Oreochromis niloticus: one gene and its partner. The protein of the gene in region 2 binds, or shares a complex with, the protein of the main gene of each other region. Links are inferred from orthologs where the notes say so. Each region holds a gene or a part of one and is shown on either strand. Other genes may lie near its edges. The genes, in order: rac2 and cyba.

Region 1 (16,317 bases), on a different chromosome or scaffold from region 2:
CATAAACTGAACTAATAACTAATAATTATTAATAAAGAAAGTAATAAAAATGATCCAAACCCCTGTGTCCTTACTGAAAACTAAGCCTAACTCCTACTTTGGACTTTTTGGGTCTAATAAATTCGGCTTTTTTTTTTAAGGACAAAGTTTTATTTGAAATGTACTTGAGCATGCATGTGTGTGTGATTTGTTACCGTCTGTGGGTAGGACAGTGGGCGGAGCCTGTCATAATCTTCCTGTCCAGCTGTATCCCAGAGGCCCAGGTTGACCGGCTTACTGTCCACCATCACATTAGCTGAATAGTTGTCGAATCTGTGGGGAGAGAAGGTCAACAATCAGTCGACCAGTCAACCAGTCAACCAGTCATAGGCAGCCTTTCATTTCATTGGTTATTCATTAATTAAACAATCCTTCAGTTCACTGATCGTTTAACCAGTGAAACTCCTGTAACGGGGGGAAAAAACAGGACCATACTTGAAATACCACTGTTCACAAAAACATTAACCAACAACATTACTTTGGTTAGTTTGACACAGAAGTCATACTAACCATGTCTGTGTCATGAGAGCATAACATATAATGAGGCAGGGCTGCCCTCGTGTGGTCACAAATAAGCATAACAGTGTAATTTCTCAGTGTTGGTGTTTATATTTCTGGGCTTCCAGTTGCACCTGAAGAAGTAAATGTGTAAATGTGTTGACTCTTAGTCATTTTCATGAAATTCTGGTCCTTCATGTTGCAGAGTGCAGCATTACATCATTGAAGATCTGAGGTTTATCATAACCTGTGTAATAATCATTTATTATGCTTCCCTAGATCTTTTATTGCCTTCATTCTAATATGGCTTACATGTAATATTTGTGGACTGTATTCTTTTATAAGGTTTTATTTTTTCATTTAGGCACCAGCACCCACTGGTGGAAGAAGCATTCAATTTTTTGCTGAAGTAAAAGTGCTGATACTGCATTCATTTTTTTCTTTCAATATTTATTTCAATATTCAAACGTCCTGCATATTCTGTGTAGGGCTTAAATTTCTGACTGTTTACATTAGAGATTGTGCTAATTATTAATTTGCCACTTAAACCTTTTAATTTCTTTTGGTTTATAAAACTGCAGAAATAGCAAGCAAAAATGAGACTTAATGGCCAAAAACGGCCAGAAAGGTTGTATAGTGTTTTAAACCAATTGCCCAAACCTCAAGACTATTTACAATAAACAGGAAATATTCAATAAATAAATACAAATAAATAAATGTATACAGGAAAAAGGATCAGATTGGATTTGGAAAACAGTTGCTAATCGAGTAATATTGTTATCTTTTTTTTAACATTTACCATGGAGAAGGTTAGCTTATATAAAAACAATACATTTAAAAATGCTTCACATATTAGATTCATATTTAGCTGAATTTTGCATAAAACTGTTCAAATTTCCATTTAAAATGTAGTGAAAGTATTATGTTGCATGGACATACAACACTCTAATACTTGACTTGTTCAGTTCCAGCGCTGTTAGGAATATTGTCAACAATATTTATTGTTAAAAAGAAAAGAAAAGCCCATCTTGCTTCTTTCTTCTTTTCTTTCACCGTGTGCAGAAAGCAGCTGACTTTTGATCAAACACGCTTTGAAGCACAAATATGTTTTAATAACCTGCAGGCTGCTGCCAGCCCAAACCTGCCTGTGTTACAGTCAGACATTTCCAGTTGGACTGCAGCACATGTGTGCATCTTCTCTATAATATTTGTCCGTGTGTCCTGACACAGTGCACGACTGATCATGTGTACCATGAAGACATGTGCATGTACCTGTAGGAGCCTCACAGAGAGACCGCGAGAGTGTTTATGTCTGTATTTCTGTGTGTGTAGATGTGTGTTTGTAGTACTCACACAGTAGGAATGTACTCTCCAGGGAAGGCATTGGTTGTGTAGCTGATGAGAAGACATGTTTTACCCACAGCTCTGGATAACACAAGTAAAAACACAGAGATGTCAGGAAAGAGACATAGGCAATGACAAAAACCCCCACAAGAGACAGTAAATGTTACTATACTGTATATATATATATATACATATATATATATTGTACAACAGGAGATGATGCAACATGCACGCCTATACACATCAGTCACACTCCAAGTTTAAAGTTTTTCTGGAAGTGCAGTATATTTATTCTGTGAGCAACTCGCCCAGTTCCTTTGTTGACGTCATTGTTCGAAAATACTGTCACGGTCAAAAATAACACATTCAACAAATACAGATTTCATGGACACGCTGACATCTGTAAACAGCGTTTTTGTGTTTCTAATTTGCAGAAAGTCAGTGATCTGTGTTCAGCTTGTCCCAACATCCACAGTGATGAAACTGCATGGCTGCCTGCAAGGTGATCCAGCAAGTATCGACTAGCCTGCTTCTTATTTAGTTTCCACAGATTTGCTGCCAGCATTTTAACAGCAGCACACAGAACTCGAGCCCTGGTTTCACCGCAGCACTCATATTTCATGTTGATTACACTCTGGATACATCTGATTGGTCATAAGCTAATAGGAGTGGCTACAGCCTTTTTGCTTTCATCAAACAGAATTCTGTAGAGTCTCTTATCTGACAGACGGAGATCAGAATCCCTGATTGGATCGGTCTTTATCACACTTATTGATAAATAACCTTTTTTTTGCTTACATAAATAACCAAGCAAATCCAGTCTGCAAGGAACCCATCGGCTCGTCCTTTTTCTCAGTCTGCCTGTGACTCTGTGCCATACAAGACATTTGTGACGTACAAGCGTTTATCAAATAAAGCAGGTTTGTACTGGTCCTCTCGATGGTTTTGCTCAGAACTCTCATATACTCCCACCTTTTACTCAAACCAGATTAACACAATAGAAACATTTTAAAATCCCACAATAAGATTAATACTTTTGTGGAACTTTGAACTATTATCTAGAAGAAATTGAGCTTCCCCCATTGTCTCCCCCCAAAAACTTTTTATGTTTAATATGTAAATCAAATAAAATGTTGGCATATTTCTCTTATACAAAATATTTTTTGGTTATTTTAAGTATTATTATATTGTATATTATTAAAAGTTGTTATACAAAAATATGGAAGGGATGACACATCATCATTATCAACTGACGCTTCCACTGTGGGTACACTTGTTAGCACGTTTCTTTACTTTCATGGCTGCTGTTATAGTACAAGTGTAATGAGTATATATTTTAGTGTTTTTCAGCACAAACATTTGTAATAAACAACAACAACAACAAACTTTTATACTATGTAGCTGGTTAATTTTATTTTTTATTAATTATAAAATCTAAATATGTTCTGACTAGAAAAAAAAGCATGACATAGAAACTACAAAATGACAGTCATTCCAAAAGTTAGCATTTTAAAAAGACCAGCCCTGCTGACGAGATGACTCAGTAGTGATATGAGCAACGCAGATAACAGCTATAAAAGCTGTCAGAGTGCGTGTGAGCATTTCTATCTCTGTGAGGACAAGTCTGAGCTTTAGAGGTCAAGTCTGATGAAATTTTGTCAGTTTGTAACTTTTTCCAAAGGCTCCTGTGGGTTTAAGATTTAGACTCACTGTTAAGGTTAAAACAGGGTTTAGGTCAAATGCAGAGGTTGAGTCAGGGATGTGGGTCACACATTAAATAATGCCATTAAAAGCTCTCATAAGTATAGCATTACATGTGTGTGCTTTGTGGTCGTGTGTGAGTCAAAAAGGAACCGCGCTGTTTCAGAAGCATCGGTTTGAGCTGAAAACAGGAACTAGCCACACCGAGCTATCAAAAAAAAGAAAAAAAGATTTCTGCCTCGCATCTCTCTCTATCTGCTTCATAATCTGCTTTTCCATGAACATGTTTTATCCTATCGTTTTAACCTATTGTGACATTTCATTTCTTTTGGTCCCATCTAAAAAGAATAAAACGTCAATAAATGGTGATGAATGGTTTCAACCAGACTGAGGCCAAATGGTGTCAGTTAGCTAGCTGCATAGCTCTACAGCTGCATGTAAGAAAAAATAAAACTGAGTAAACTTTAATGTCTCAAAGGGGGCTTGACTTTTTTGTTACTCATTAGGTTTACTGTATTTTACAAATAATTATATCTGTAGCTGTATAACTGTTGTGCTTTAGTAGTCGTATAACTGCTAACTCAGCACTCACTTTAGCAGGAGAATTCAATTAAATAAAATTTTATTTATACAGCGTGAAATCAAAACAACAGCTGCCTCAAGGCACTTTATATTGTAAGGTGGACCCTACAATAATACATACAGAGAAAAACCCAGCAATCATGTGGCCCCCTATGAGCAAACACTTTGGTGACAGTGGGAAGGAAAAACTCCCTTTTAACAGGAAGAAACCTCCAGCAGAACCAGGCTCAGGGAGGGGCGGGGCCATCTGCCAGGTGAGAGAAGGAAGACAGGATAAAAGACATGCAAGAGAACGTCTAATATACCCAAGAAGTCCAACTCTCTGCTCGCAAGTCCTTAAAAAAGTCTTATGCAGCCAATATATATGAGTGTATATGTGCAGCAAACAGTTGTGGTAAATTACCTTTCTCTGAGTTTTAGGAATGTGACGGCACCATGAGCCACTTTCTAACATCCGCCATTTTGACTTCAGGCATGAAAACAGCAGCAGCAGACAATTTCCTGACAGAGGTCAGCTTCAACCACCACAACTAGCTACTGCTTATACACCCATGAAAGTTTCAGAAATGTTTATATACACTTGTAGAGGGAAGTGAATATGTATACATATAAGTCCTTAACTGACCTGCCAGCAGATAGCAACAGAATGTTAGCTTTTTCTGAGAAAAAGCAACTTCGCTATAAGAAACACAAAAGACAGAAACTTCATTTTATTTCAGTTCAGGCACATTAATGATGCTTTGTTTGAAACAGTAAGTTAGCTGCCTTCATCTCTACTTTTCAAGGACTATCTTGAAAACCTGTCAGATTATGTACAATACAATTAGCTGTGGTGTGGCTCTCCAAATTTCTTTTCTTTCTAGTGTTAGATTTAATTTAACATTTATAACCTGCTGGCCCATTTACCTTTAAAGTAACCCATTTATTTTGTAAGGTTTTAATGATACAATCATCAGACTGTAGGATGTTCATTAACTTGGCTGCTAATTAAACCATGTGCTTAAATCATTCACATTGTTGTTCAACAACGTCTCCTTTTTTGGAGTTAGTTAAGGAAAATGGATTTTCCAACACAGCTGATGAGCTCTGATTGCATCCTCAGCTCCAAATTCTCTACTTATGCCAAAGATCATCGCAAGTGTCAAGACAGCTTGCAAATTTCTTATTTCATGAAGTTATTTTACTTTTTGCTGAAATGTACTGTGTTTATACTCGAGATAAAAATCTTTAAAACGTAATCAGAGATATGACTGATTGTCTGCTATAATGTCACATGAAGATTTGCCAGTTATTGTTGAGCCAGTGAAGATTTTAAAAGCCTTTTAAATGCTTGTGCTGTTAAACTGTAAATACCACGACTCTTGCAGCGGACTTCCCTACAACATGAAACCGACTTCCTCTTCTCCATCAGCAGTTAAGTTTAACTACTGTGCGTATGTATCTATATATACACTGTTAGCGCCTAGCAGAGGTTAAAAAATGAGAAATCAATGTGAAAATTACCACCACCATCATTAGCTTTCTGGCTGTCACATAAAAATGATACATAGACTTTCAAAAGGGCTGGCTGGGTTATTTGCAATGTATCTTTCAAATATTTCAAAAGGCAACATTTTGAAAACCTTTTCACAATATTTCCTTTTATTCATGTGGCCACAGGTGTAAAACTGGGCACATCTCCAAGCTCTTCTCAATTTTTCTTTTAAAGAGAAAGAATGACTTCCTCCTGCTTGTGTAATCCACTGAAGTGAACCGACTGCCTTTGTCTTGGTGTTGTGTTTTTAATAGAGGTGGACGAATTAATCCAAATATTGATACCAACACAGATATTGGTATCAGATTGATTCAGTGCTTTAAGTTAAGTCTGTAGTCCATTGAATCTGTTAAATAAATTATTTCTTTTGCACATAGCATAATATTCCTTAAACAACATATTAAAAAACGTCTAAACCTTTTTGTGTTGACTGCAAGTCTATTTTATTTATACCCTATAGAACATTCAAACAACAGAAGCTGACCCAAAGTGCTTTTGAGACATGAACATTAAATTCTGGGTCTCTGAAAAACCCAGTTTGAAAATTCATGAGAAACTAAAAGGTGTGTTTTGTTGTTTTATCTAATTATTGTGGAAAGTAAAAATCATTAAAATGTGTTCAGAATTTGCAAATTAATAATGTCCCTAATAATGTCTCATAAGTCGTGACGCACTGCACTTCCCTATATAAACTATTATAGGTTAAAAGTGTGAGTATTGGTATCCGCAGTACTGGCCCTGTATTTACTTGGTATCGTCATATTTGCAGTACTAGTTTGTACACAGCACTAGTTGTAAAGAAACAAGTAATAAAGGTGGAACTGAAATCTAGGTCAAGTTCTGGAGTGGAGTCAAAAGTAATGAAATAAGATCTACAAAAAGTTCAGCTTGTTTACCTCTGCAGTGCTTATTGTAGCAGCTTATATTCACGTCAGAAACTGCGACTTATTATTGCTTATTTTTTTTGCTTTACATGTTTTGTCACTTATTTTTAGTGAACTGTCTTTATTTACTTTAGGACACTTAAATTACATAAAACCTTTTTTAATGGAAGCTTTTGGTTGGCAGCTACTAAAAAACAGCTTCTTAAGAAAAATAACAATACAAGTTATTTAAACAAAACAAGAAATTTATCAAAGTATGAATATGTTGGTTAACATAAAACCTGACTACTGTTGGTTTCCTGTTGACAGCCAACAATTGATGCTTTTTTTGATTAATTATGACTGTTATTTAATTATCTATTTATTCTATATTCTGTAGTAGTCACTGTAACCATTGTCACTTGTCACTGTAACCATAACAATGAAGGTGCCTTCATAAATTCAAATATATATATATATATGTATACATTTGCTCCTTTCATAGAGTTCTCAAGCTGACGCATATTTGAACACTACAAAAAATGTTAGAGAAAACACACAATTATTTTTTTTTTTAATGTCAAATTTTAAATCATGTTTTGCATTTGTTTAAATCACTTGAACTGTTATTTTTCATGTGAGGTCTTTTTAGTAGCTGACAATCAAAGGCTTTCAATAAAAAAAAAGGTTTTATGTAAATGTTGCATGCTAAATGAAATAGAGCCAACACCACATGATTCCCTTTCCAAATATTTACACGCGTCACTGTTACGGCTTCTCTCTCTCTGCAATTTTTTAAATCAGTGTCACACACCAGGAAGCTCTGCACACACACTGCAGTACCTGTGTGCTACCTCTGGATGGTTAACTGTCTGTGTTAAAGTGTTTACTGAACTATTTTTGAGAAACAACTGTAGGACTTCCGCTTTACAATTTCCTTCACTTTGACAGCCAGCCATTTTGCCCCACCTTCAACGAAAGACGCATTTGATGGCAGACGGTGGCTCATCCAAACTTCTTACGCGAGCACATTTCACCCTTTAGGGCAAATAAATTCAACAACTTTTCAGATGTCAAAAACACAATGAGGTTAATCATTTACACATTTGAGCTTCTGCTTCTTTATTGCCTCTTCTTTTTTTAGTCATACTTTTCTCCCACTTTGTTTGTATTTTCTGAACTGATCTTTGTGGCATCTATCGGATTTTCATCTTTGAAGAGGAGTTCTGCTGCCTTAAAGCATTTTCCTGCATGTTGTGGCCTGCATGGCTCATCCAGCGCGCTCAGTGTGAATCACCGCTGTCAAACACACACCTTAAGATCTACATGTTAACACTGGACATAAAACACAAGTACAGAAGTTTCTTTTACGCTTTTACGCTGAACCGAACAGCAATCTTGCTGTAGTGGGTCAAACTGTTGCTCCTACCATGTGACAACCTTTGACAGCTCTATCTGATTACCCTGAAATTCAGAGCCTGGGGCCAATCCCCATTTACACGTCAGCTGGGCGACCACTGTGTAATTCAAAGCTTGAAGGCCTCTTTAATTTATAACACACTGGTTAAAATTAGTAAAATAATAGCATACCCATCTCCCACGACCACACATTTGATAGCCTGCATCCTGTTCCGCTCAGCTTCGTCTGTGCTCTTCACTCTGAAAGAAACAGACTCAGAGAGGAAGGCTGAGAGACGCTGAAGAGCATGCAACTACAGGAAATTGTTGCACACCTCCCTCCCCCTTCTTTTGCTGCCTCTTTTTTTCTTACTCAGCCTCTCTCCCTTCATTTTTGCACTCATCTCCTTCTTCCTGTTTTGTTTTTTTCTTCTTTCAAACAACAGACCTTAAGCTGAAAAGCTACCAATACCAATAAGACACCCATAAAAAAATTAATGTGAAGGGTGTTGAAAAGCAGTCTCGGTTGCAACAGAGAAGAAGCTGTGAAATGGCCACAAAGAGGAAGGTTCTGCTAACAATAAGAGCTTTATTTAAAACTTCCTCTACTGTTGGGCATTTACCATTCAATGCAGACCAGCATGTCCGGAACATACGGAAGCTAAAATTAATTTACCTCAAATTTCATTTTGCTATGAAAAAAAATTGAATTCCGTAAACCTCATTAATTAAAGACATGCACTCACACGCGCGGTTACATTTCCCTTGGTTTACACAACCTGACACTGACTCACATTCACTTCCTGGTGTTTTCTGCAGTATGTGTCTAATGGTGATCTTAAAACAACATTAAACCTTGTTATCACTCCTGGTGCACTCCTGATACTATGAAACACATTTATGTCCTCACAGTGTGAGTGATACAAGTAACCACCTGCAAATAAAAGTTTATTGTCGGTTAACTTCAAGTTATGTGTCTGTAAATTTAAAAGGAACAGCATGGTGGTGCAGTGGTCAGCACTATTGTGTGACAGCAATACGATCCTGGATTTAAATCCAGCTGTGGTCCCTCTGTGTGCATCCTAAATGCTGTCCTAATGTATGCATGGGCACTCCCACCTCTCCTCACAGTCCAAAGACATGCATCTAATCAAGTCAAACTTTACTTTTATAAAGACTTAAAACAACAAGTAATGCACATGAATGCTATACAAAATATACATAAGATAAGATAAGATAAGATAAGATAAGATAAGATAAGATAAGATGACCTTTATTAGTCCCACGTGTGGGAAATTTGTTTTGTTAAAGCAGAAAGTGGACAGTGCAAAAGTTATGAAGCAAAAATTAGAATAAAATAAAATAAGAATAAATACAGAGGACGGTCTGTGTATTCAACCCTACCTCTGGCGCCGGTGCCCACCTCTCAATTTTAAATCCATGTAGACATTGAGGGTTCTCGGGAGGGGCCGTGCTAACACCTGCTGCTCTCTGGCAGCAGCACCATGCCCTCCCTTGTTTTAAATGCACTTTAGAACAACACGCAGCAACACTACACATGAGCGGGAGGAGGGAGGTATGGGGTCTTCACACACCCCCGTTCTCTACTAGCCATCGGGGTGGGGGGCTGGGAGGAGGTGTTGGCTGTCCGATTGGCCTCCCTGCTGCTGCGGAGCCTGGGGCGGTCTGCTTGCCTCCACCCCGGGGAAAAGGGTCACATCTCTTGGGTCTGGGTGCCGTTTCCCCCTCTGGGAGCGAGGGTACCTGGACCCAGGGCATAGAGTATGTTTGGGGAGTATGATTGTGTGTACATGTCTATGTATGTCTGTCCCTACGTTGGGTAAGTGCTGAGTGTTTGTATATGTGTGCATGAGGGTGGGAAAGCATGTTTATGTCTGTGTGTGCCTGTTTGTCTGTGTCTATATGTCAGGTCGGGTCTTAGACTCCACCTCCCTGGGTACTCCCAGGCCCTCCAAGTGTGGAGGCCTATCTCCCCTCACCACACTCCCTGCTGGTAACTGATGCCCTCAGGGGTTGGTGCATTGGTGGTTCTTGGTGTCCGGGGCTGGGCGCTCAGGTATGCACCGGCTCACTCCCGGTGGCTACTTGGCGGGGCCCGATGCCTGTCGCTCGGTCAGGCCTCTTCCGGGGCAAAGGGGGCCCTCGGGCCTCCGGCCTCGGGGCCTGCAACTCGGTTCACTCTGGCACAGCTGGCTGCCGGCAGAGCCGGCGGGCACGCCGGTGCAGCCCCCTCTGGCTTCTGCTCCGTGGCTACTGGGTGACCCCCTCGTCTGGGGATCTCCTCAGCCCTTCCCAGGAAGGTGGCACGGATGCCCCTCCGGTGGTACTCCTTGGGCTCTCACACTCTGGGTCCTCTGGATGTCTGGAGCCTGGATCTCCTCCATGCCTGCTTCATGCCCTGGGGGACGGGGCTATGGCCCTCCGCACCCTCTAGCAGACCGTTACATGGGAAAACCTTTTGTATACAAGCGCGTTGATCCACACAGGTGTGCACACGGGTGTTCACTGTTCGTAGACATAAACTACACCTTTCTTAGCTGCTACTTCAAAGCACATTGTGCGCTGTCTGTCCTGCGTGCTGCACAACAACTTTCAATATTTAGTATTTACTGCTGTTCACACTCAGCTAGATTAACGTGATGGTGTTGTGTTTAGTATGTTGTTTTGTTTTTGTTTGTTTTTTTTTTTTGCTTGTCTTCTCTTCTTTTTCTCTCAACAGGTGATCCAGGAGATTTTTTTTTTCTTTCTCTTTGTCTTTGTAAGTGCCCTTTCTCACTGTCCCTTTTCCCTTCTGTTTTTCTTTTCCTTCCTCTCTTTCTTTCTCCCTTTCCTATCCCCCCGTCATGTCTGTCCCATCTGTAACAACTGAAAATAAAATAAATAATAACAACAAAGTTCGATCAAATGGACCAATACGGCAATGCCATGATGATCCATTTGGCAAAATAAATCCATTTGGTATCCTTGTTGGTCTTCAGACAACAATTCTGACGGCTTAAGAACCAAATGGGACAGACAAAAAAAAAAAAAAAAAAAAAAAAAAAAAAAAAAAAAAAAAAGCAGAAAGTGGACAGTGTAAAGTTACATTGCAAAAATTAGAAAAACACTGGAATAGAATAAGATAATTTCACTAGCTGGGCCCACGTCCTCATTTTAGGTTTGACAGCGTTTTAGTAGGTAAAGGTGAATGCTTTGACATGAATTGAGCTGCGGTTTGGGGAAGGCCTCAAAGGGGACTGGCGATGGCTCCTGGGCCTGGCAGATCTCCATGTACTAAATAGAAGCAAAGAAGTTAAAGAATGGAGCACAAGGAGGGAGGGTGGGGCACGTAAACGAGAATGATCAGCTTGCAGAACTGGGGGAACCTACTGTATATAGATGAGAGCCAGAAGGAGTGTGTTTGGAGGTGTGGTCCTGCTCCTGAGATTCAGATACATAATCTCCAAAAGAATGAGAATAAAAATACTGTACACAATAGAATAGAATAGAATAAAATACTATATACAATAGAATAGAAATAGAATACACATACTATAACTGAGTAAAATACAATGTTGTCAGAAAAAGAGAATTGCACAGCCTGCCACTGAAGGAGCTGCTCAGTGCTGTCAGAGTCTCCTGCATGGGGTGGGAGATGTTGTCTAACAGGGATGAGAGCTTGGTAACCATTCTCCTGTCACTCACCACCTCCACTGGGTCCAGAGGGCATCCTAGAACAGAGCTGGCCCTTCGGATCAGCCTGTTCAGTCTCTTCCTGTCCCCAGCAGAGATGTTGCCAGCCCAGCAGACCACACCGTAAAAGGTGGCTGAGGCCACCACAGAGTCATAGAAGGTCTTCAGGAGTGGGCCCTCCACTCCAAAAGACCTGAGTCTCTACAGCAGGTACAGTCTGCTCTGCCCTTTTCAGTAGAGGGCGTCTGAATTGTAGGTCCAGTCCAATTTATTGTTCAGATGAACACCAAGGTACCTGTAGCTGTCCACAGCCTCAATGTCCATACCTTGAATGTTCAGTGGTTGCAGTGGAGGATGTTTGTGCCTGCGGAAGTCTACCACCAGCTCCTTGGTTTTACTGGCATTGATCTGGAGGTAGTTCTGCTGGCACCAGTCCACAAAGCCATGGGTCAGTTCTCTGTACTCCTTGTCGTCCCCATCAGTGATGAGGCCGACTATTGCAGAGTCAACAGAGAACTTCTGCAGGAAGCACTGGGTGGAGTTGTGGGAGAAGTCTGCAGTGTAGATGGTGAAGAGGAACGGAGCCAGAACCGTTCCCTGTGGGGCCCCCGTACTGCAGACGACCCTGTCCGACACACAGCCCTGATTTCTCACATACTGTGATTGGTCAGTGAGGTAGTCCAGTATCCATGTTGTGAGGTGATGGTCCACTCCTAGGTTCTCCAGCTTGTAACAATACAAATCAACAATAAACATGCCCTGAAATACACAATAAATCATGAACTCTAATAAATTTAAAAAATGCCATCAAATAAAACAATAATAGAAAAAAACAAGACTGTGCTTGCACAATAAAAGCCAGGATGTACGGTACCAACAAGAATAAGTAGGTTTTTATGGGTGTTTTAAAATAATTGGGTTACTGGGCATCTCTAATGTGAAAAGGTAGGTTGTTCCAAAGATTAGGGGCCACGACTAAAAAGGCTCTCTCACCTCCCGTTTTTAAGCCTACATTTAAGAATGTACAAGAGCAGTTGGTTCATAGACCTCATTGATGTAGTTGGGGTGTAGGGCTATAAAAGTTCAGTAGTAGGGTGCAGTAGGTGCAGTTTTATTTACATATATATGTGCTTTATATTGTAAGGTAAAGTCCTTAGAATAATACAAAGAAAACAGAGAAACCCCAAAAATCAGATGGCTCCCCTATAAGCAAGCACACTGGCGACAGTGGGTAGGAAAAACTCCCTTTTAACAGGAAAAAAACTCCAGTGGAACTAGACTTGGGAGGGGCAGCCGTCTGCTGAGAGCGGTTGGGGGTGAGAGGAGGAGGACAGAACAAAGACATGCTATGGAAAAGAGACATATTAATAATAACTAATGATTAAATGTAGAGAGGTGTATAAACACAGAGAGTGAGTGAAGACTGTGGAAGCCCCCAGCAGCCTACGCCTAGTGTAGCATAACTAAGAAAGGATTCAGGGTCACCTGATCCAGCCCAAACTGTATGTTTTATCAAAAAGGAAGGCTTTAGGCCTAGTCTTAAAAGTAGAGACAGTGTCTGTCTTCCAAATCCAAACTGGGATCTGATTCCACAGAAAAAAGGGCCTGAAAGTTTAAGGCTCTGCCTCCCAGTTTACTTTTAGATATCCACAAGATAACCACAAGCCTGACGTCTGAGAGCAAAGTGCTCTATTGCGATGGTGATACTACGAGCTCTTTAAGATAAGATGGGGCCTGATTATTCAAGACCTTGTACGTGATGAGAAGGATTTTAAATTCAATTCTGGATTCAACAGGTACCAAATGAAGAGAAGCCATTATGGGAGAAATACGCTCTCCCTTTCTAGTCCCTGTCAGTATTTCTGCTGAAGCATGTTGGATCATTAGTACATCCTAAGAGTACTATGAGAGAATTATAATAGTCGAGCCTAGAAGTATTAAAAGCATGAACTAGTTTTTCGGCATCACTGTAGTCTTAAAATAAAAAATGGCATTTTGAGGTGGGTCTTGTGATGGTGCAATGCTGTTGTAATCATCCTGTTTCTTTCCTTTCAAAAGACAAGCTGCTGCATTGTGTACAGTTTGCAGGTGATGAAGCAACATGGTTCGTATAGGCAGATATATTTGCAGATCATCTGCAAGGCAAAGAAAGGAGAAGTTCTGCTTTTTAAAAATGGACCCCAAGGCAATCATATATACAGAGAGAGCCCCGAGTTACCCCAAACAGTTAAAAAGCCTGTCATTAAAACCTCTTGAAAGGGTTTTTTTCTGTGTAATGCTGTGCTTGAAACCAGTCTAGATTTTCTCAGAGATACGACCTAAATCAAATTATATATATTTGGATCTATTTGAATCCAATTATATATTTCTATGCTCTTTTACCAAAGTCCGAGAGAAGGACTCTTTGTAATGGGTCTGTACTTCATGTTTATAAGCATTAGATCAACAATACCTGGCCCAAAGATACTGTTTCCAGGAAGCTGTAAGATGACGGCACATGTTGAACTATTTCCATTAAGCAAGACAAAAACACAACTTCACACAACCACGCAAGAAAAACAGCATTTGTGATGTTCATCTACAACCACTAGATGGCACTTTAGCAACAGTTTTTGCTATTGACTGTCACGTTTAAAACTCTGAGCATCTACAGCACAGTTGCTCTTCCTTTATCTGTCACAGTTATTTAAACTATTGTTTTTCTTAAATTTGTTTGACTTCTTACCTCACTTTTTTGAGAAAAACATTATTCAGAATACACATTAACACCTCGCTTTTATAATAGTTATAATGTCAGGTTTAATTATGAAGACTTTATATTCATATGCTCTTTTCTCCTTCTGCTAATGTTCCTTGAATAATTTTACTGCCGTTTCCAAAGTGTGTTTAAACTACTGTAAAACCTCAATTTGTGTATGGTTACCTTGGGAGGATGCAACATGCAAAATTCAACCCGTTAACTACTCGTTGGCTTTTCAACAGTGCAAGCTTTCAGCTGTCAAATCGGCCCGAGAGCGAGAGTACACTGCGTTAAGCAGAGCAGGAAAGCCACACAGCCTTCAAAATAAAAGTATCACATTTTAGTTAAATAAAGTCACCTGTAATTGTGGTCACATTTTCCCGCGGAAAGGTAAATATATTTCTATCAAGCCTTCGTGGCTCACCTCATCATATGATAACATGATAGTAATGCTTTCCAAACTCTTCTCCTGGCTAGTTTTTACAGCCTTGAGGTACAGAAAACACTCGAAGATTCAACTACATATCAGTGGAAGATATCTGCAGATATCTCAGGTCCACAAACCCGTGCAAAAGAAAAAAAAGTAGTTTTTTTCTTTTCTTTTCTTTTTTTTTTACATCTGTGTTTTACCCCGACTCTTTCTCTTAATATGCGTTTAAAAACAAAAATGGACAAGTTGACTTCTTGCATCCTGAAATGAAACATGAAAAAAGACCCTCTTTGATCAAATTAAATCTCTGACAGATTCGTTTATCAACCATTTTATTTTGAAGGGTGACTGTTTGCGGTTTCATGTATGAGTGGTACTGTGACAGATAGGGAAGAGGTGGGGTTGAAAGACAGCATCCACTTCATTCAGCTGTTAATTCACTGTGTGCCAAGGCAGCCTGCGTACCTTGATACATCGACTTTGTTTAGCTGTTTTTGTACTGATTTTTTCCCCCTCTATCCTTGGATATAAATGACTGATTGCCAAATGGGTAAGACTTTTTATTACTGATTTTAATATGTATTTATGTATTTAATATTTACCGAGAACTGAATCGTTTAGATTATTGGTATTTCAATGTAGGTGTAATTTTCAGAGACTGTCACTGGATATTTAAAATTAAAAGGCTCTTTCATGCAATTTACCTTCATAATTGTCTTTTAGTATACTCCTGATGTGTGATACTCTTATTATAAACACACTTGACCTTATGACATGAATTGGATCTTAAAAAGTTACCCAGCTGTTTTATAGAGAAGCTTCAAGTTTCACACTGTCATGTTTCTAACTAAACAGCTGTTATTTGAAGACAAATCATTAGAAATAAATACTGCTATTCCTGGTGCAAACTTTCAGTGCATGCTGAGAACAGCTGGTGGGACGTTTTAGTGATGGGTGTACGCTTCAGCATACACCACTTCTCACTGTTTAACCCTGTGGTCATACATTGTGGGTCTCAGCAGCTGAAATGGGGAAGAGACTCATATTCACATACACGTCACCGACTGTGACATTTAAAAGGAAGTTGCAAAGATCCCTAAACTACTTTAAAACGTAACTTAAAGTCAGCGGTTATTTTTCGGATTGGTAATTTGGTATCTAAATTACATAAACAAAGGCTCCGATGATTTAAGCATGTCAGCTTTGTTGCACAAGATGTGTAAAGGAAGGGTGGGGAAGTGGAAGCGCTGTGGTCACATCATTAACAGCAAACAACATATCTCTGCAGGAAGTATTGGCAGTTAGCAGTCTTTTACCTTTAAATATACTAAAAAAGATTTATTTTCTCTAAGGATAAATGTAAAAAAAAAGGTTTTACACATTCAGTATGGCCTGAATGCTGCTGAGGAACCACAGAGTTCATACACTTTGCTTTGCTTATCATAACATCTCATCATCTATGCTGATGATAAAAATATGTTGCTTTGTTGTTGGT
Region 2 (16,202 bases):
GCACTGAAAGTTTTGACATGTATAATAAAACTTTCAGTGTAGCTGACCAACCTAGTATTCTTACTACATTTATATAGAAGCTAAGCAGTATCTTTTGTTTTCTTTTAGCTGGTCTCAGTTGACCAATGTAATCGTTTTCTAATTACAGAGAAACAGAAATGAGGAACTCCATATTGGCTCAAGTTCTAGACCAGTCTGCCCGTGCGAGATGTAAGTGTGGTTTCATATTTATCCTTCATCTTAATAAAACTCCTCTTTGGAAATTAATAGTGCCGTCTCATTGTATTTTATTTTTTTAGTGAGCAATCTTGCCTTGGTGAAGCCAGAAAAGGCAAATGCTGTTGAAAACTATCTCATTCAAATGGCTCGTTTTGGAAAGCTGGGAGGAAAGGTAAGAAAGTACAGACATGGGGAAAAAGTTTTCACAGCGCACTCTGCGATCCTTTGGAAAAACTAGATACAGCCCACCATTCTGTATCTTGTAGAAATCATTTTCTCACAACTTTATTTAGCAATTTCACCCCCACACTTGTTTACAATGTTTCTACAGTTGCTTTGGGTTTGTGCGCATTCATTTATGCACAGGATTTCAATCAGGTTGAGGTCTAGACTGTGACACAGTCTAACCTTGGAGTGAATTTACTGGACAGATGGTGGCAATTTCTTAACACACCTGGATGCTCCAGACCAGCAAGGTGCCAAAACCTCTGCTTTCAGAGGTGGTCACACTTGCTGACGATCATTTAAGTCCTCCTCAGTTCCTGAGGAAGCAGCAAGAGTCTACTTTGTTTTTCACTATGCATTCCTGTCAAAACTCTTTCTTTTTTTTTTCTCAGATGACTTTAACTTTGAATAGTTCTAGCACAACATATTGATTCTTGTATAATGCCAGCAAAGAAATAAACTCATTTCCACTTTTGTCAGATTACAGAATCAGGCTTGATCGAGATCCTAGAAAAAGTCAGTCAACAGACAGAAAAAAAGACAACTGTTACAGTAAGTTTCTCTGAAATGTCACATACATTTGATTTTTTTCCCTGTAATTTATTTGTATTACATTTCTAATATACTTTACCTGACAGTTCAACAGACGGAGGGTGATGGACTCGGATGATGAGGACGACTATTAACTTTCAACAGGAGCTCTGGAATGAGCAACCAAATCGGGAGCAGTTGACATGCTTTGCTGGGACTCTGACAGGATCGCTGACTAGTGTGTTCCTGTTAGCTAAACCCTGAGATGCCACACTAGCTTCTGTGTGTCTTTGGAAACTACCAACCAAGATGGAAAACAAGGACATTTGATATTGCAGCATTTGGCGGGATTGTTCAACACAATGTCAAATAACATTTTCTTTTGTAAACTCTTCAATCAAGATGCTACAAATTTCTACTGCTTATCTGACAGCTCATGACACTGTTTGACTCTCCTAGTCCTTCTCAGTAGTTTCCTTTATTTTCACCATGGTTCATGCATTTTCTTCAAACATTAGAAACTAGTTAAAATGCAGAACATACAGATGTTAATGCATTTTATATGGTCTACTCTGTAATTGCAATCTAGGGCTACTATCCCATTAGATGTTATTCTAGGGTTCTTGTTGCTGATGTGTACCTTCAGGGTTCACATATAAGTTAAATGAGCCTTAAATTGAAATATTTGTTCCTTATTAGTGGACTGTTTCTAAAACTGTCCTTCATCATTTAAATGAGTGTTAAATCTTTTTTTTAAGTTTCCAGTTAGAATTTAACACAAATTGTATTCCACTGACTTGAACATCAAATATCACAACATCAATACACAGTAACATCCCCACCATACAAAGGTAGACTGTCAGTCTATGGATGAGGTGGATGATTGATTCTGGACTTTTTTTGCTTTATAAATAAGTTCACATTTTGACTTTAATTTCAGAAGCAGGAGTTAACAGACTGCCAAATGTATCCAACTACTTTTGAAATAAAATGCATGATGGGGAAATGTGTTTTATATTAATATACTTTACTAAATCTCTAGGAAAGTCTGTCCGAAGTCACTGTAGTCACCATACTGACAGAACTACTTTTATCGGTATCGGTACCAATATTGATGTACAATATAAGAAAGCATTTAATGTACCTAAGTTGTTCATTACGTGTCAAATACAATAACTGAGTACCTTTTCAGCACTGGATGCTGCAGCTTTTCTCTATTTCACAATACTAATTTTCTGTCTCTGAGCAGTTATTAAGATTTATAATTCATATATAAAATTGCGTTGAGTTGAATAAACCTTAACACCGACGATAGGGGTCTGGGTTGGTCTTACGCTTGCCTCATTTTCACACGACCGTGGTCAGATGATTTCCCATTGGCTATTTAGAGTTCAGTACACTCAGTCCGACTCTAATTGGTGCTCGGGTTAGTCACATGTTCATCACTAACCAATCGGGTGAGTCTGCTAGGAAACGCTACAGTAAGGTGCAGGCAGCCACGCTGAGAGTGCTAAACTCGGGGAGAGGTGTTGTACAGTGTGTTTTTAAAACATTCAGGTAGTCTTATTATTGGTTTATATGCAGAGCCATGCCGGAGGAAAGAACTGAGCAGCCACATATAGTTACATGTACCGCTCCAGTGAATATAGCTGTCATTAAATACTGTAAGTATCACCTCGACTTGTGTTTGAGTTAGCATTGTTTTGTTATGGTTGTATCATTTGGACTCAAGGGAAACTGAATCGACAGTGCCTGTGTGTTTAAGTCTGACTGAATATTGGTTATTAAAGGTCTGAATTACTCTCGAGTCTATTTATATTGTATCCTAATATCAGGCTGATGACACCTCGGTTGTGCACTCCGTGTTAAAGCCTTCTTACTTTTCAGGGGGCAAGAGAAATGAAGACTTAATTCTACCCATTAACTCATCTTTGAGCGTCACATTGCATCAAGACCAGGTATGTTAATTAAAACGAAATCCTCACGAAGCCTGTGTCTGTAAAAAAACCCACTCAGCTTTCTCTATGTTTTCTCATTTCGTCGTGTGTCCCTGTCCAGAGCTGCAGAATAACTGTTGCTGTGGCTGTAAGAGTTCACTTAATGGAGCCAAAGTCTCTATAAAATAGACTGTTAAGAGAATATTATTACATAACATTACTGTTAGGATTAGGATTGCCAGCCAAACTTTAAATATTTATCTGGTGTTTTAGTATTATTTGTAGTGTGAACACAGCTATATTAAACTTTACCTGTCAACATCTATTAGATATTCTACTAAAAGAATATTGGGGAAAAAAGTATTGTGACTCTGTGGAAGAAATTCTCTGTTACTCAGATTACAGACAAATAACATCACTTTTGCACTGTCCCGTTAAACTGGGATACACAGACATACACTGTGTTTTGTGCTTTTCACATGTCTCCAGGGTTCACGTTGGACATTATGTTATATTAGTAATAACATACACTACTACATACAGCACCAGTATTTCTCTAGTTTCTCTTTTTCTCTTCTTTGCATGTTTGCTGCTTTTTTGTTCTGTTCTCTGTCAAGTTCTGTCAGTTCTTTGGTCCTTTTTGAAGAACACACTGCACACCCATGATGAGATATGCTTTTGGCAAATAACGCTTTGGGAATCATCTTGTTGGTGCAAAGATAATTTTTTATATTTTATGTACCTTTACCTAAAGAAATAAGGAAAATGTTTTGGAACTGGCTGTTAGTAACAAAGTTCTTAAAGATACAATTTAAAATTGGTTTGGCTAATTTGTCTGTTATGTATGGACATAACACTGGTTCATCCCTTGAGTTAGGTGCCTTTTTTATGCTTGAGTGATTGATAGATCGGTTTTAAGTGGCTTAATAAACAAAAACAGATCTCTCTAAAAGTGGTCAGATACAAGGACTGGACTGAAAATGTGTATAAAAGCATCCAGTGTCCAAAGTAAAACTTTGAAAGAACTTCAGAATTCCTGGAGAACTATTGCTCACGAGCACTCTTAAAAAACTACAAAAAGGTCTGGCTTCTTGGAAACAGAAAAAAGGGAGGGTTGGTTCAAGATTTTTGCACACCACTGTAAATGCAGCTTGATACAGACGTAGCTTCCTTTTTTCTGTTTAGCTGAAAACAACCACTACAGTTGCAACCAGCAGATCATTTCAGGAGGATCGAATATGGCTCAATGGTAAAGAGGAGGACATAACCCATCCCAGACTGCAGTCCTGTCTGAGGGAGAGTGAGTGTTGTGCATTATATTTGTAAAATACAGCAGACAGAAAGGAGTGCATACTACAATGTAGTTTTCTTCTTTCTTTTTTTTTTTGCTTTATACTTAGTTCGACGATTGGCACGGAAAAGGCGTAATGACGGAGACTCTGGCGTGGATTCAGCTAGTTTGTCACACAAAGTCCACATTTGCTCAGTTAACAATTTCCCCACTGCTGCTGGACTCGCCTCTTCAGCAGCTGGATTTGCTTGCCTGGGTGAGCTTGTCTGTGCTATAATTCACTTTTGCTAACATCTCCTTCTCCATCTTTCTTATAGTTGATATTGCTTCACTTAGTCCCAGTGTCTTTTTTTCCCGAATGTTCTGTGGTGCAGTTTACACTCTGGCTCGGGTGTTTGGAGTAGAAGGAGAGTTGTCTGGGATTGCTCGTCAAGGCTCAGGCAGCGCATGCCGGAGCATGTATGGAGGTTTCGTCCAGTGGATCATGGGAAACAAAGAGGATGGGAAGGACAGTTTAGCCCAGCAGGTGGAGCCAGAGACTCACTGGCCTGAGCTCAGAATCCTCGTACTAGTGGTAGGTCTGATTGTGGGTATAGGAGAGTGACACTAAATAAGTGTAAATAATGCTGATGAATTTGCGCTTTTACAAATGCAGGAATGCAAAAGTTACATCGATTTGATGCACTTCTGTCACAGGCCAGTGCAGAGCGGAAGCCAGTTGGCAGCACCTCTGGAATGCAAACCAGTGTAAAAACAAGCTGCCTATTAAAGGTTTGTTCACCCTATACTGCAAATGTCAGAATTTTAATGTATATCGATTGGCATTTTATTTAAACCCAACTCACTAATACAACACATTTCTGACTGTCATACCTGTGTCTGTGTGCGTCTGGGTTAGCACCGCGCTGAATCTGTCGTCCCGGGCCGGATGGTAGAGATGACTGAAGCAATACGAAAAAAGGACTTTGCTGCATTTGCTGAACTAACCATGAAGGATAGTAACCAGTTTCATGCCACCTGCCTCGACACGTACCCCCCTATCTTCTACCTCAATCATGTTTCACAACAGATCATCAGCTTGGTCCATCGTTACAACAAGCATTACGGGGAGACGAGGGTGAGCAGCTTTTACAGTGGTGTTATGGGAGAAATATCTGAGCAGGAACTTTATTCCTTTATACATATTTGTATTTCCATTCACTTAATTACATTTTATTTTATTGTTTTTCCATGAAATTGATTTTTCTTAACCACTCATCCAACTTGGGGTCACAGGTGCCTGTCCCAGCTGATATATGGTAAATGGCCTGTATTTGTATAACGCCTTACTAGTCCCTAAGGACCCCAAAGCGAGAGTTTAGTTTAACAGTGGACACGTTGCCAGTCCATCACTTAACACCATACCACGCTTTCACTGAAATAAAGAAAACTTACATTTCCTCATGGACAGGAAAATCTTCTTCCTTCTGCAATAGTCACATTCTGTTTATTATCTTTACAGGTAGCCTACACTTTTGATGCAGGGCCCAATGCTGTGATCTTCACTTTACAGCAGCATGTTCCTGAGTTTGTGCACGTGGTTCAACATTTCTTTCCCCCAGAAACCAACGGAGCAGAGTAAGTTGAAGGATGTTAAGCTCATTACCTTTAAAATCCTTCCATAGCAATTAATTAATCCTGAAAAATCAACATTTAAATGCAAATATAGATATATACAGTGGAAAGTATTAGGTCTTTTCATGTAATCTAAAACTGATAAATGAGACCTTTTGCCCATTAACCTACTCTGAAATCTGTGAAAGTGAAACTTCTTTTGGTTTGTTAAAAATCAAGAACTGAAATCAGTCGTTACCAGAGTGTTTAAACCCTTTGCTGTTGCATTCAACATTTTGGTCAGGTGCATCCTGTTTGCTTTAATTATCTTTGACACATGTTTACAACATGACTGTGGAAAGCTAAATGATTTAAGCACAGTTTACCAAGGCATGTGCCCGTAAAGAAAGTCTAACAAATCATATTGCATTAAGGCCCGAAGTCCAGGAAACTCTCTACAAACTGACCATAAAACTGTGGTCAAGAACACCATTTCTGAGGTTTTGAGTGTTCCCAAAAGTGCAGTGTACTCAGTAGATTAACATGTCTAAAAGGTATTTACCAGAAGTTACCTTGCCATCTAACCAAAATAAGTGATCAAACAAGAAGGGTCTTATTCAGTGAGACTGCTCTGACTGATCTTCAGAGGTCCTCAAGTTTTGAAAACCTGCTGGAACGACACCCAACTCACTGGTACAATGATCCACACACTTAACTCCCTGGACAGAACACTATTTCTGGCTAATACCAGGCACTGCTTATTATCTTGCTGAAAGCAAGTGAATCAGGGTGCTTGCATACTATTGGGGTATTTCTCCAAAGAAGGGACATGAAGATGGAGGGATGTAAGAATTCAGAAAGGGATCATGAAGATAACCTGCTTCAAATTGCATGCAACCTGAAAACACAGAAATAGCTTGAGCTAGAAACAGCCTGCCTAGAAAAATAAATCTAGAGAAATGTCTATGAAGATCTGAACCTGCAAATGCTGCTAAATGGACATCCACAAAGGACTTAATCTTGCATCTGTGTAATGTTTTACTTTTGTACTTTTGCTTATTAATATTGACCTTCAGTCTCTTTTAAAATGTGTCATTAAGTGCTTCTTTCTTCTCTGCAGCTTTATTAAGGGTCTTCCAGTCAACTGTGCTTCTCTTTCTGAGGAGCTGAAGCAAGGTATTGGTCTGGAACCCATGCCAAAGGGAATAAACTACATAATTAGTACTAAGGTATTCACTCATATTTACCCGCACAAGCAATTACTCCAACTTTGTATTATAGGCTTACTTTAAACAGAAGCTAAAAGATACAGAGGTTTTAGATTTGAATGTCTTGATCCATCTTAACTGCACAAGACTGCAGTGATGTGTCTGCTGTAGGATTGCACGAAGGGTCAGATGTGTCTTTACAAAACCTTTCAACATGCTGTTACGAAACATTGTCTTGCATTGTTCCATTTAACTAGGGCACTGAAAGAGCACAAGAGTTATCTGAATCTTTGACCAGTGAGTGCTTCATTTGAAAAGCTAATGTTTCCTAGAGGCAAGAATAAATGTAAAAATTTAAAGCTCATGAAACATATAATTAATCTGTCGTTTCATCTTCTTGTATTGCCTTCAAGGTTGGACCAGGCCCGTGTGTTGTAGAGGATCCCACTCAGCAGCTGCTTTCATCTGATGGTTTTCCCAAGAAAATGATGTGATTTCCTCCTGCAGCGAGTTCTACTGAGCAATAGGAAAGCCAATGTGACTTAGTTGCATATAACTTTTATCGCAGCAATACCAGACACCTTCCTCACAACAGCAGAAGATGATACATCTCCCTTTAAATTTTTAACTGTCCTGTTTGGTCTCTTTTCTTAACATCATTACTCCTTTGTGCTCTTTCATAGCTTTAATCATTTCTGTGTATCTGCAGGTAAACACTGATACTGCCTTGACTCTCTGGTCGTAAATAAGTGGAAACTCTTGCAGTGAGCAATGCACTGAGTCATAAATACAGATCAGACTGGAGCCCAGAGCTGACCCATTGTTCTGTCTGATCGAATTATTGTGTGTACAGTTTTCTTGTTTCTTCTTGTTAATCACCATTTCCGACCAACAGTGCATATTTAATTCATGTCAATTTTATGGCACACAATAAAATATATTTTGGTCAAGATTTCATTTGTTGTTTATGATTTTTGTCATTCCATCATCTGATTCTCATCCAGATGAGAAAATAATTATCTATTCAATCTCAGAACTTTAAAAGATTAACTCATAATTCTGGTAAAGAAGCAGCAGAAAGGACAGCAAATAATGGAAAAGAAAAAAAAAATCTTTGACAAATTCCGGTAACCTAACAATCACCGCCACAGTCAACAATCAGAGTGTGTATATCTTGCGATAAAGCCGGTCTTTCTTTTCCTTGTGTTACCTGGCAGGAGTTTTCGGTTCTTCCTCTTTCGCTGTAGCGCTGCATTTTTTCGGAAATGACGCTTGAAATAGGGATTGGCTAAGGCAGAACAAGCCTCGCCCTCTGACCTGCCCACCTGCACCCCTCAAATCTCGTAAATACATTTTTCTTCCTTGTAGAAACCATTATCACCGTCGGTAATCCACGCCGGAGGAGCTCCAGGAGGCTGCAGAGCTGCTGTTAGGTTAACATAATGGGGAAGATTGAGTGGGCGATGTGGGCTAATGAGCAGGCTTTGGCGTCGGGTCTAAGTGAGTATGAAAACTTTATTATTATGGAGGGGGGGTATTTAGCACGTTTCTTATTGTCTTATTCGGTTACATGAGCGGTACTTTTAGCCTCTTGTCTAGTTCATTTACAGAGTATTTCTGACAGCATAATAAAGCACAGTTTACCACCTCTGTGTGTGCAGTCTGCAGGAGTGTATTTTTTAAATCTTATCTTCCTGTTTTCTTCTTTCAGTTCTCCTCACAGGAGGGATCGTAGGCGTTGCTGGACAGTTCAGAGGGTGGCAGTTTGCTGCTTATGCAGTGTATCCTTTATTTTCTGTTGTATTTTTTATTGTGTCTGAATTTTGGCTTATTAAGCCTTTTCTATGTTGTAGAAATAATAACATGCTAAATAGGATTTTATTTGTGGGGGTTTTTTTGTTCTTGGGGTTTTTTGTTTTTGTTTATTTTACCAGTAATTTAATGCATACAGGAAGTTCAAATACTTATAACATGTAAATACATTATAGGCTACACAGCTAATACTAGAGCCTTTGGTATTCTAGTCTGTATTGACGTGATAGAACAGGTGATGTGATTCATCTGTCCTCCACTACACCTTAAACAGACTCTGTAGGATTGAGGTGTGGTGATTGTGGAGGCCATTTTAAGTTCAAGAAACCAGTCTGAGACTGCGTAGTGCACTGCCCAAGTGAAATGAGCATTTACAGTGTAGTCATGGAGGGACACATATGCTTATCAACAATACTCAGAAAGGCTGTTACATTCAAATTATACTGAAACAGTAACGATTCTTCAATTGCTACGCCAAATTTTGACCCCACCATCTGAATGCTGCAGAAAGAGGGTCATTGCCAATCAACCAGGCAACATTGTTTTCCAACCAAGCATGCCCATTGTGGGCTCTGTTTCCTTTTCTTAGCTTAGGTCTAAAGCTGCTGATGACCATTTGCTTTTTTTGACAGATTTTGTGCTCAGAGATCCTCCTCTACACAACATGTGATTTTAGTTTTTATTGCATTGCTGCTCGATCAGTGCAGCTATCCCTCTCCTATCTTTATCATCAGGAAGTGTTTTCGCAGCTCATTGGGTGAATTTTCTTTCTCTCTAAGGCTTATTTAAATTATTATATGTCAAAATGCATTTTGTTCCTGCCTCATAAGTGACTGAATTGGTGTTTTTATTGACAAGTAGTTGAACAAGTGTTATTAATACAATGACCGTCAAATGTTTATGATGCATCACACAGTATGTTAAGCACAACTATGCAGCAAGTTAACATCAAACCTGACCAAATGTTCTAGTGTTATGGATTTAACCGACGCTGTGCTTAGCAATGTTCACACTGACATGCAAGAACGTTATTTCTTTTTATTCAATAATGGCAAAAATACAACATGGGAAAGTACTTTCTTTTCTCCCTCAGTAGCTATTCTTATGAAATAATGGAGATATTCTCTTTTGTATTAGGAACAATCCTCTCATTCATTGTTGTCTTTGCCTGCTGAACCTGCTCAGCGTCACCAGTGTTTATCTCAATTTCACTTCTCAGACTTATCTCAGTGAGCATTCTTATCTGACTTCTTTTGGTCCGGTTTAGTTACTGCACTGTGTTTACTGATGATGATATATTGTTTCTGTTTTTGTGTCTGTGTGACACTTTGCATGCAAATAAAGAACATTATTTTAAAGAAAACACCTTGACAGATAACTAGTGCTGCCGGGGTGTTTGTGTGTCTACTTGAGTATCCCAGAAGCAAGAGGGCCAAGGGCACGAGCGTGGAGAGAACGTAAGCAAACACTGTTCGTTTGGATGTGCGCTGGACTTTAATGGACAAGTTCTAAGTCGCTCATCATTGTGTCTTAATTTCTCTCAGGGGCCAGTACTGCTTCACTGTGTGTGTAAAAGCCTTTGGACCACTCACCAGGAACTACTATGTCAGGGCATTTTTACATGCTGCGTGAGTTCATTATCTCAGCCACAGTCTTTGCCAAACAGCATTCCTGTCACTGTCGATTAGTCAAGGATTATGACTTGTTTTCTTTAGTCTTTTGTCTTCAAAATCCATTTGTTTTTGTTTTTGATTGTTTTTATCCTCAGTATCTGTGTACCTGGAGGTTTTATGCTTGCCACTGTTCTTGGATGTGTCTGCCTTGGCATTGCCAGCCTCATCTACCTTGCAGTAAGTTTGCAGCTTTTTAACCTATTTATTTTTCTTCTGTCCAGCAAGTTAAATAACTTTTTGATAAAGTTGTTAACTGAAGCAGGAACTAGCCAGTTGGTGGAAACAAGGAAATAGCAACAAGGAAGAGGTTGTTTCGTTACTGGCACCTCTGTTGAAAGATGGCCGTGTAGTTATGAAATCTGAACAGTTAGGGGTGTGACTGAATTCCTCTACACCTTTGTGGATTTTGAAGCTTTTGAGGTTGCACTGTTTATTTTTACATTCTCTAAACTACTGTGAGAGTCAAAGATAAGAACCAGTAATAATAATCTTCCTGATTTTCAGTAACAGTACAGTAACTTTCAGTCATGCTTAACTTAATCATGCACAAGCCAGTCATTGTTGATTTGTCATCTTCTTGCTTTGTAGGCCGCTATACGAGGCGAGCATTGGGAGCCCATTCTTCCACGGAAGGAGATCCGAAAACCAGTTGGAGAGAGCATCAAGAATCCTCCTCAGAATCCACCACCAAGACCTCCTCCAGAGATGCGCAGGAAACAAGCAGGCGATCTTGAAAAATCAGCCTATGACAACCCCATGTCTGTTACTGATGATGAATAACCAGTATAGTTTCAATCCATAACCAGTTACAGTTGGAGCTCTGGATGAACAAAGTTTTTCTAAAGTTTAGTGTTTCAATTGACCGGGCAACAAGTTAGACACACACCTCCTTACCTCAACTTGGAGAAAAATGTGAGGAATAAATGAAGGAAATAATTTGTTCAATGAAGAAAGAAAAATCAGACAACAGAATATAAATGTAAACACTGTAGCTACTAAGTGTCATCCGCTAGCAATTATTGTCAATTTGTTTTAAGTTGCTCTGCATCCACAATAGTTACACTGTGTTCTTAACCCTTTACGTATTTCTTAAAAAGCAGCTGATTCCAATGCTGTTTAATAGGAATAAATGGATCTGCTGTTTTTGACTGTATCTGGCTGATATTAAGCCATTTATTAAACTTTTTGTTCGCGTTTTCAATGTGTTGTAAATAAACTCTTTTTATCCTTTGACTCATTATGTGTCGTAGGCGTGTTCTTTAAATCTGCATTCTACAAGGTTTCTCTGGTAAATTATTTTAAGCAATGCAACTTCCCCATTTCGCAAACGTACACAATTTCAATATGTCAGAGTTTCCCTTTCTTGTCTCAGCTGTTTCTTCTGTATTTTTGTCACATTGCCATCAATTGTTAGCTTACAATGGAAAAAAAAATCTTAGGATCATTCATTAGGTTTAGGTGCTGGTTGTCAGACAAGTTCTGCATGTATTGTCTTTTGTTACTGCTCAACTTTGTGTGTGTGTGTGTGTCACAGCTGACCTGTCAGGCAGCTGGTTATCGCTATAAATAGACATCTGCTTATGAATAATGCATACTGTCAGATGATAATCCATGGGTTTTGTGGATTCTCTGTGGAAACCACAGTAGTACAGTTGTGCTTCTTCTTTTTAGTTTGGGGCCTAACACCAATGTACAGCATTTGATATATTTAAAAGAGGCATTTTTAATTTATGTGTTGTATATGATCGTTTTTTTAAATAATCATCAAGACAATATGATTCATATTCAAATTAATGTCCTTAAATCTTCGTATTTTCACTTTTTTTATGCGGATAGAAAAGTTGTCTGTCTTGTTTAAAAAGTAGGTTAATTTTGCCACCTCCTGTTCGACGAGAGAACTACAAACAGACTGCAGTGAGAACTTGTGCTGCATGAGATGTTGATTCAAAGGCACAGTAAGACTAGTTTTAAAATAAATTTCGATGATTCATTTGTTATTTTTGAAATTATTTAAAAGAAATTATAAACAACTGAGCTTAATTGTAATGTTCATTTTTTTTAAATGATCAAATAAATGTGGAAAATCTATAGAAACACGTGAGTAAACAAATGTAAAAATAACTTGTGTCCAACTCGTATGAAATTCAGTTACAGGTCTTCCGGCGCCCCCCGTGTGCGGCAGCCTGTTACAGCAGCTCTGCTCATTCTGAGTTTCTTTCTTTCTTATCTTTTCTTATCTTTTCTTCTCATAATTTTTCTATAACTAACGTATTAGTAATTAGACTCTGCAACCATGCACTACCGTTTTGTGCTAGTTCTGGTCGTTTTTCTTAGTTTTTTTCTACTTTTTTCACCCGTGTGTGGAGACCCAGAGCAGGGATCCTTTGTTTACAGTAAGGATCAGCTGTTAGCGCTGCGTCCCGCTGCAGTACTGCCGGCGGACAGACCCGACATTCCCAGCGAGTTGAGGAGGAAAAGACGGGGGTGTCGTGCTGGGAAGGAGCGCCGTCGCCCGAGAAGGAGACGTTATCGACCATCTCTTCCTTCTGTAATTATTGGAAATGTAAGATCTTTGCCCAATAAAATGGATGAGCTAACGTCGCTAACCTGGTCACAGAGGGAGTACCGGCAATGTAGCATCATGATGCTAACGGAGTCGTGGCTAACACCGCTAACTCCGGACACGAGTGTGACACTACCGGGATTCCAGCTGCTGCGAGCGGACAGGACAAGAGACAGCGGTAAGAGGAAAGGAGGGGGACTGGCAGTGTTTGTGAATGACAGATGGTGTAACCCTGGGCACATCACTGTGAAAGAACAACTCTGCAGCAGAGACATTGAGCTGTTAGCTGTTAGCATGCGTCCATACTACCTGCCCCGGGAATTCTCGCATGTTATCGCGATAACAGCGTACGTCCCCCCCTCGGCCAACGCGGATGCAGCCTGTGACACTCTCCACTCAGTGGTCAGCAGACTGCAAACACAATCTCCGAGAGCCCTCCTCATAATATCAGGGGACTTCAATCATGCCTCACTGGACTCCACACTGCCCACCTTCACCCAGTATGTGACCTGCCCAACCAGACACAATAAAACACTGGACTTACTGTATGCCAATGCTGAAGAGGCATACAGTTCATCACCTCTCCCTCCCCTGGGCAGATCTGATCACAACCTGGTGCACCTTGTCCCTGTGTATGAGCCCTTAGTGCGCAGGGAGCCACCAGTCACCCGCACAGTGCAGAGATGGTCGCAGGAGAGCGAGGAGGCTCTTAAGGATTGTTTTGAGTCGACTGTGTGGGAGGTGATCTGTGACGACCACGGAGAGGACATCGACAGCCTTACTACATGCATTACGGACTATATTAATTTCTGTGTGGATAACACCGTACCTACCAGGACTGTACGGTGTTTCTCCAATAACAAACCTTGGATTACCCCAGAAATTAAAGCCGTCCTCAAGCAGAAGAGGAGGGCCTTCAAATCCAAAGACAAAGAGGAGTTGAAAAGGGTGCAGAGAGAGCTGAGGGGACTGATAAGGAATGGGAAGGACAGCTACAGGCAGAAGATGGAGAACCAGCTGCAGCAAAATAACGTCGGTGAAGTCTGGAGAGGCCTCAGAACCATCTCAGGCCACAAACATCAGAACTCTCTGCCTGGGAGGGATGTGAGGTGGGCAAATGAACTGAATCATTTCTTCAACAGATTTGATTCAGCCATGAGGCAGTCTCCAACATCGGCTGCAGACTCACCCTCCCCCACTGCTGCTGTTCCACCTCTGACACCTCAGACACTTCACACCTCCTCTATTCACCCTGCTCACTCCTCCCCACCCCCATCAACAGCATCCAATACACAACCAACACAAGGCTCCAGCCTGTCTCTCTCATCCACCCAGGTTAGGAGGGAACTGAGGAGGATTAATGGCAAGAAGGCAGCGGGTCCAGATGGCATCAGCTCGAGGGTCGTCAGGTCCTGCGCGGACCAACTGTGTGGTGTGATGGAGCACCTCTTCAACCTGAGCCTGAGGCTGGGACGAGTCCCACAGCTCTGGAAAACCTCCTGTGTTGTCCCAGTGCCAAAGACTTCACGCCCCAAGGACCTCAACAGCTACAGGCCGGTGGCTCTGACATCCCACCTGATGAAGACCCTGGAGCGGCTGGTCCTGGCTCAGCTTCGGCGCCTTGTGAGCTCATCACTGGACCCACTTCAGTTTGCCTACCAGCCTGGCATTGGAGCGGATGATGCCGTCATTCACCTCATGCACCGTTCCCTCGTTCACCTGGAGACCGCTGGGAGCACTGTGAGAATCATGTTCTTTGATTTCTCCAGTGCCTTTAACACCATTCTTCCGTCGGTTCTGAAGGACAAGCTGGAGAACTCAGGAGTGGACCATCACCTCACTACCTGGATTTTGGACTACCTCACCGACCGACCGCAGTATGTGAGGACTCAGGGCTGTGTGTCGGACAGGGTCGTCTGCAGTACGGGGGCCCCACAGGGAACGGTTCTGGCTCCGTTCCTCTTCACCATCTACACTGCAGACTTCTCCCACAACTCCACCCAGTGCTTCCTGCAGAAGTTCTCTGATGACTCTGCAATAGTCGGCCTCATCATTGATGGGGATGACAAGGAGTACAGAGGACTGACTCAGGACTTTGTGGACTGGTGCCAGCTGAACTACCTCCAGATCAACGCCAGTAAAACCAAGGAGCTGGTGGTAGACTTCCGCAGGCACAAACATCCTCCACTGCAACCACTGAACATCCAAGGTATGGACATTGAGACTGTGGACAGCTACAGGTACCTTGGTGTTCATCTGAACAACAAACTGGACTGGACTCATAACTCAGACGCCCTCTACAGGAAAGGGCAGAGCAGGCTGTACCTGCTGCGGAGACTCAGGTCGTTTGGAGTGGAGGGCCCACTCCTGAAGACCTTCTATGACTCTGTGGTGGCCTCAGCCATCTTTTATGGTGTGGTCTGCTGGGGAGGCAGCATCTCTGCTGGGGACAGAAAGAGACTGAACAGGCTGATCCGAAGGGCCAGCTCTGTTCTAGGATGCCCTCTGGACCCAGTGGAGGTGGTGAGTGACAGGAGAATGGGGGCTAAGCTGTCATCCCTGTTGGACAACATCTCCCACCCTATGCATGAGACTGTGACAGCACTGAGCAGCTCCTTCAGTGGGAGACTGCGGCACCCACGGTGTGGGACGGAGAGATTTCGCAGGTCTTTCCTCCCCACTGCTGTCAGACTCCACAATAAAGCATTTAACTGATCAATCACACACATCCACAAATGTGCAATAACACAATGTGCAATAATCTTTCTGGCAACCGTTGTATTTTTCACTCTGTTGTATATAACATTTGTATTCTATTTTTATCCTATTGTATATTTTACTCTATTTATTCTACTGTATATATTATTCTATTTTTATTCTATTCTGTACAGTTGTGTACTGTATTTATTCTTTTTTATTTTTTTTATTCTAATTGTCCTTCATAACTTTTGCACTGTCCACTTCCTGCTGTGACAAAACAAATTTCCCACGTGTGGGACTAATAAAGGTTATCTTATCTTATCTTATCTTTATCTTAAAACCATATTTTACAAGTTCTGATAATTTATCAATAAGTCTAGCGTAATTAATTGCTCAAGTTATTTAAATTGCATGGCTTTTAATGCCTTGGGTTGTGTATTCCCTAGTAGA

The links.
Region 1: cyba (region 2) and rac2 share a complex: the UniProt entries of both Homo sapiens proteins name them as parts of the phagocyte NADPH oxidase complex. The link is inferred for Oreochromis niloticus from reciprocal best matches to the Homo sapiens genes CYBA and RAC2.

The regions. Positions count from the first base shown.
Region 1 is NC_031971.2:8,478,632-8,494,948, reverse strand, and holds the start of rac2 (ras-related C3 botulinum toxin substrate 2), read right to left. Parts: upstream 8,307-16,317; 5' UTR 8,187-8,306; coding exon 8,152-8,186; intron 1,963-8,151; coding exon 1,891-1,962; intron 313-1,890; coding exon 195-312; intron 1-194. Other genes in the region: cyth4b (cytohesin 4b), read left to right, coding at 15,354-15,372. UniProt on the Homo sapiens protein: Plasma membrane-associated small GTPase which cycles between an active GTP-bound and inactive GDP-bound state.
Region 2 is NC_031965.2:23,053,326-23,069,527, forward strand, and holds cyba (cytochrome b-245 light chain), read left to right. Parts: upstream 1-8,294; 5' UTR 8,295-8,446; coding exon 8,447-8,504; intron 8,505-8,715; coding exon 8,716-8,785; intron 8,786-10,198; coding exon 10,199-10,273; intron 10,274-10,360; coding exon 10,361-10,444; intron 10,445-10,584; coding exon 10,585-10,666; intron 10,667-11,077; coding exon 11,078-11,269; 3' UTR 11,270-11,727; downstream 11,728-16,202. Other genes in the region: pdcd5 (programmed cell death protein 5), read left to right, coding at 149-210, 300-391, 925-996, 1,083-1,130; mvda (diphosphomevalonate decarboxylase), read left to right, coding at 2,564-2,639, 2,863-2,933, 4,098-4,212, 4,313-4,459, 4,578-4,777, 4,900-4,974, 5,102-5,320, 5,705-5,820 and 2 more. UniProt on the Homo sapiens protein: Subunit of NADPH oxidase complexes that is required for the NADPH oxidase activity that generates, in various cell types, superoxide from molecular oxygen utilizing NADPH as an electron donor.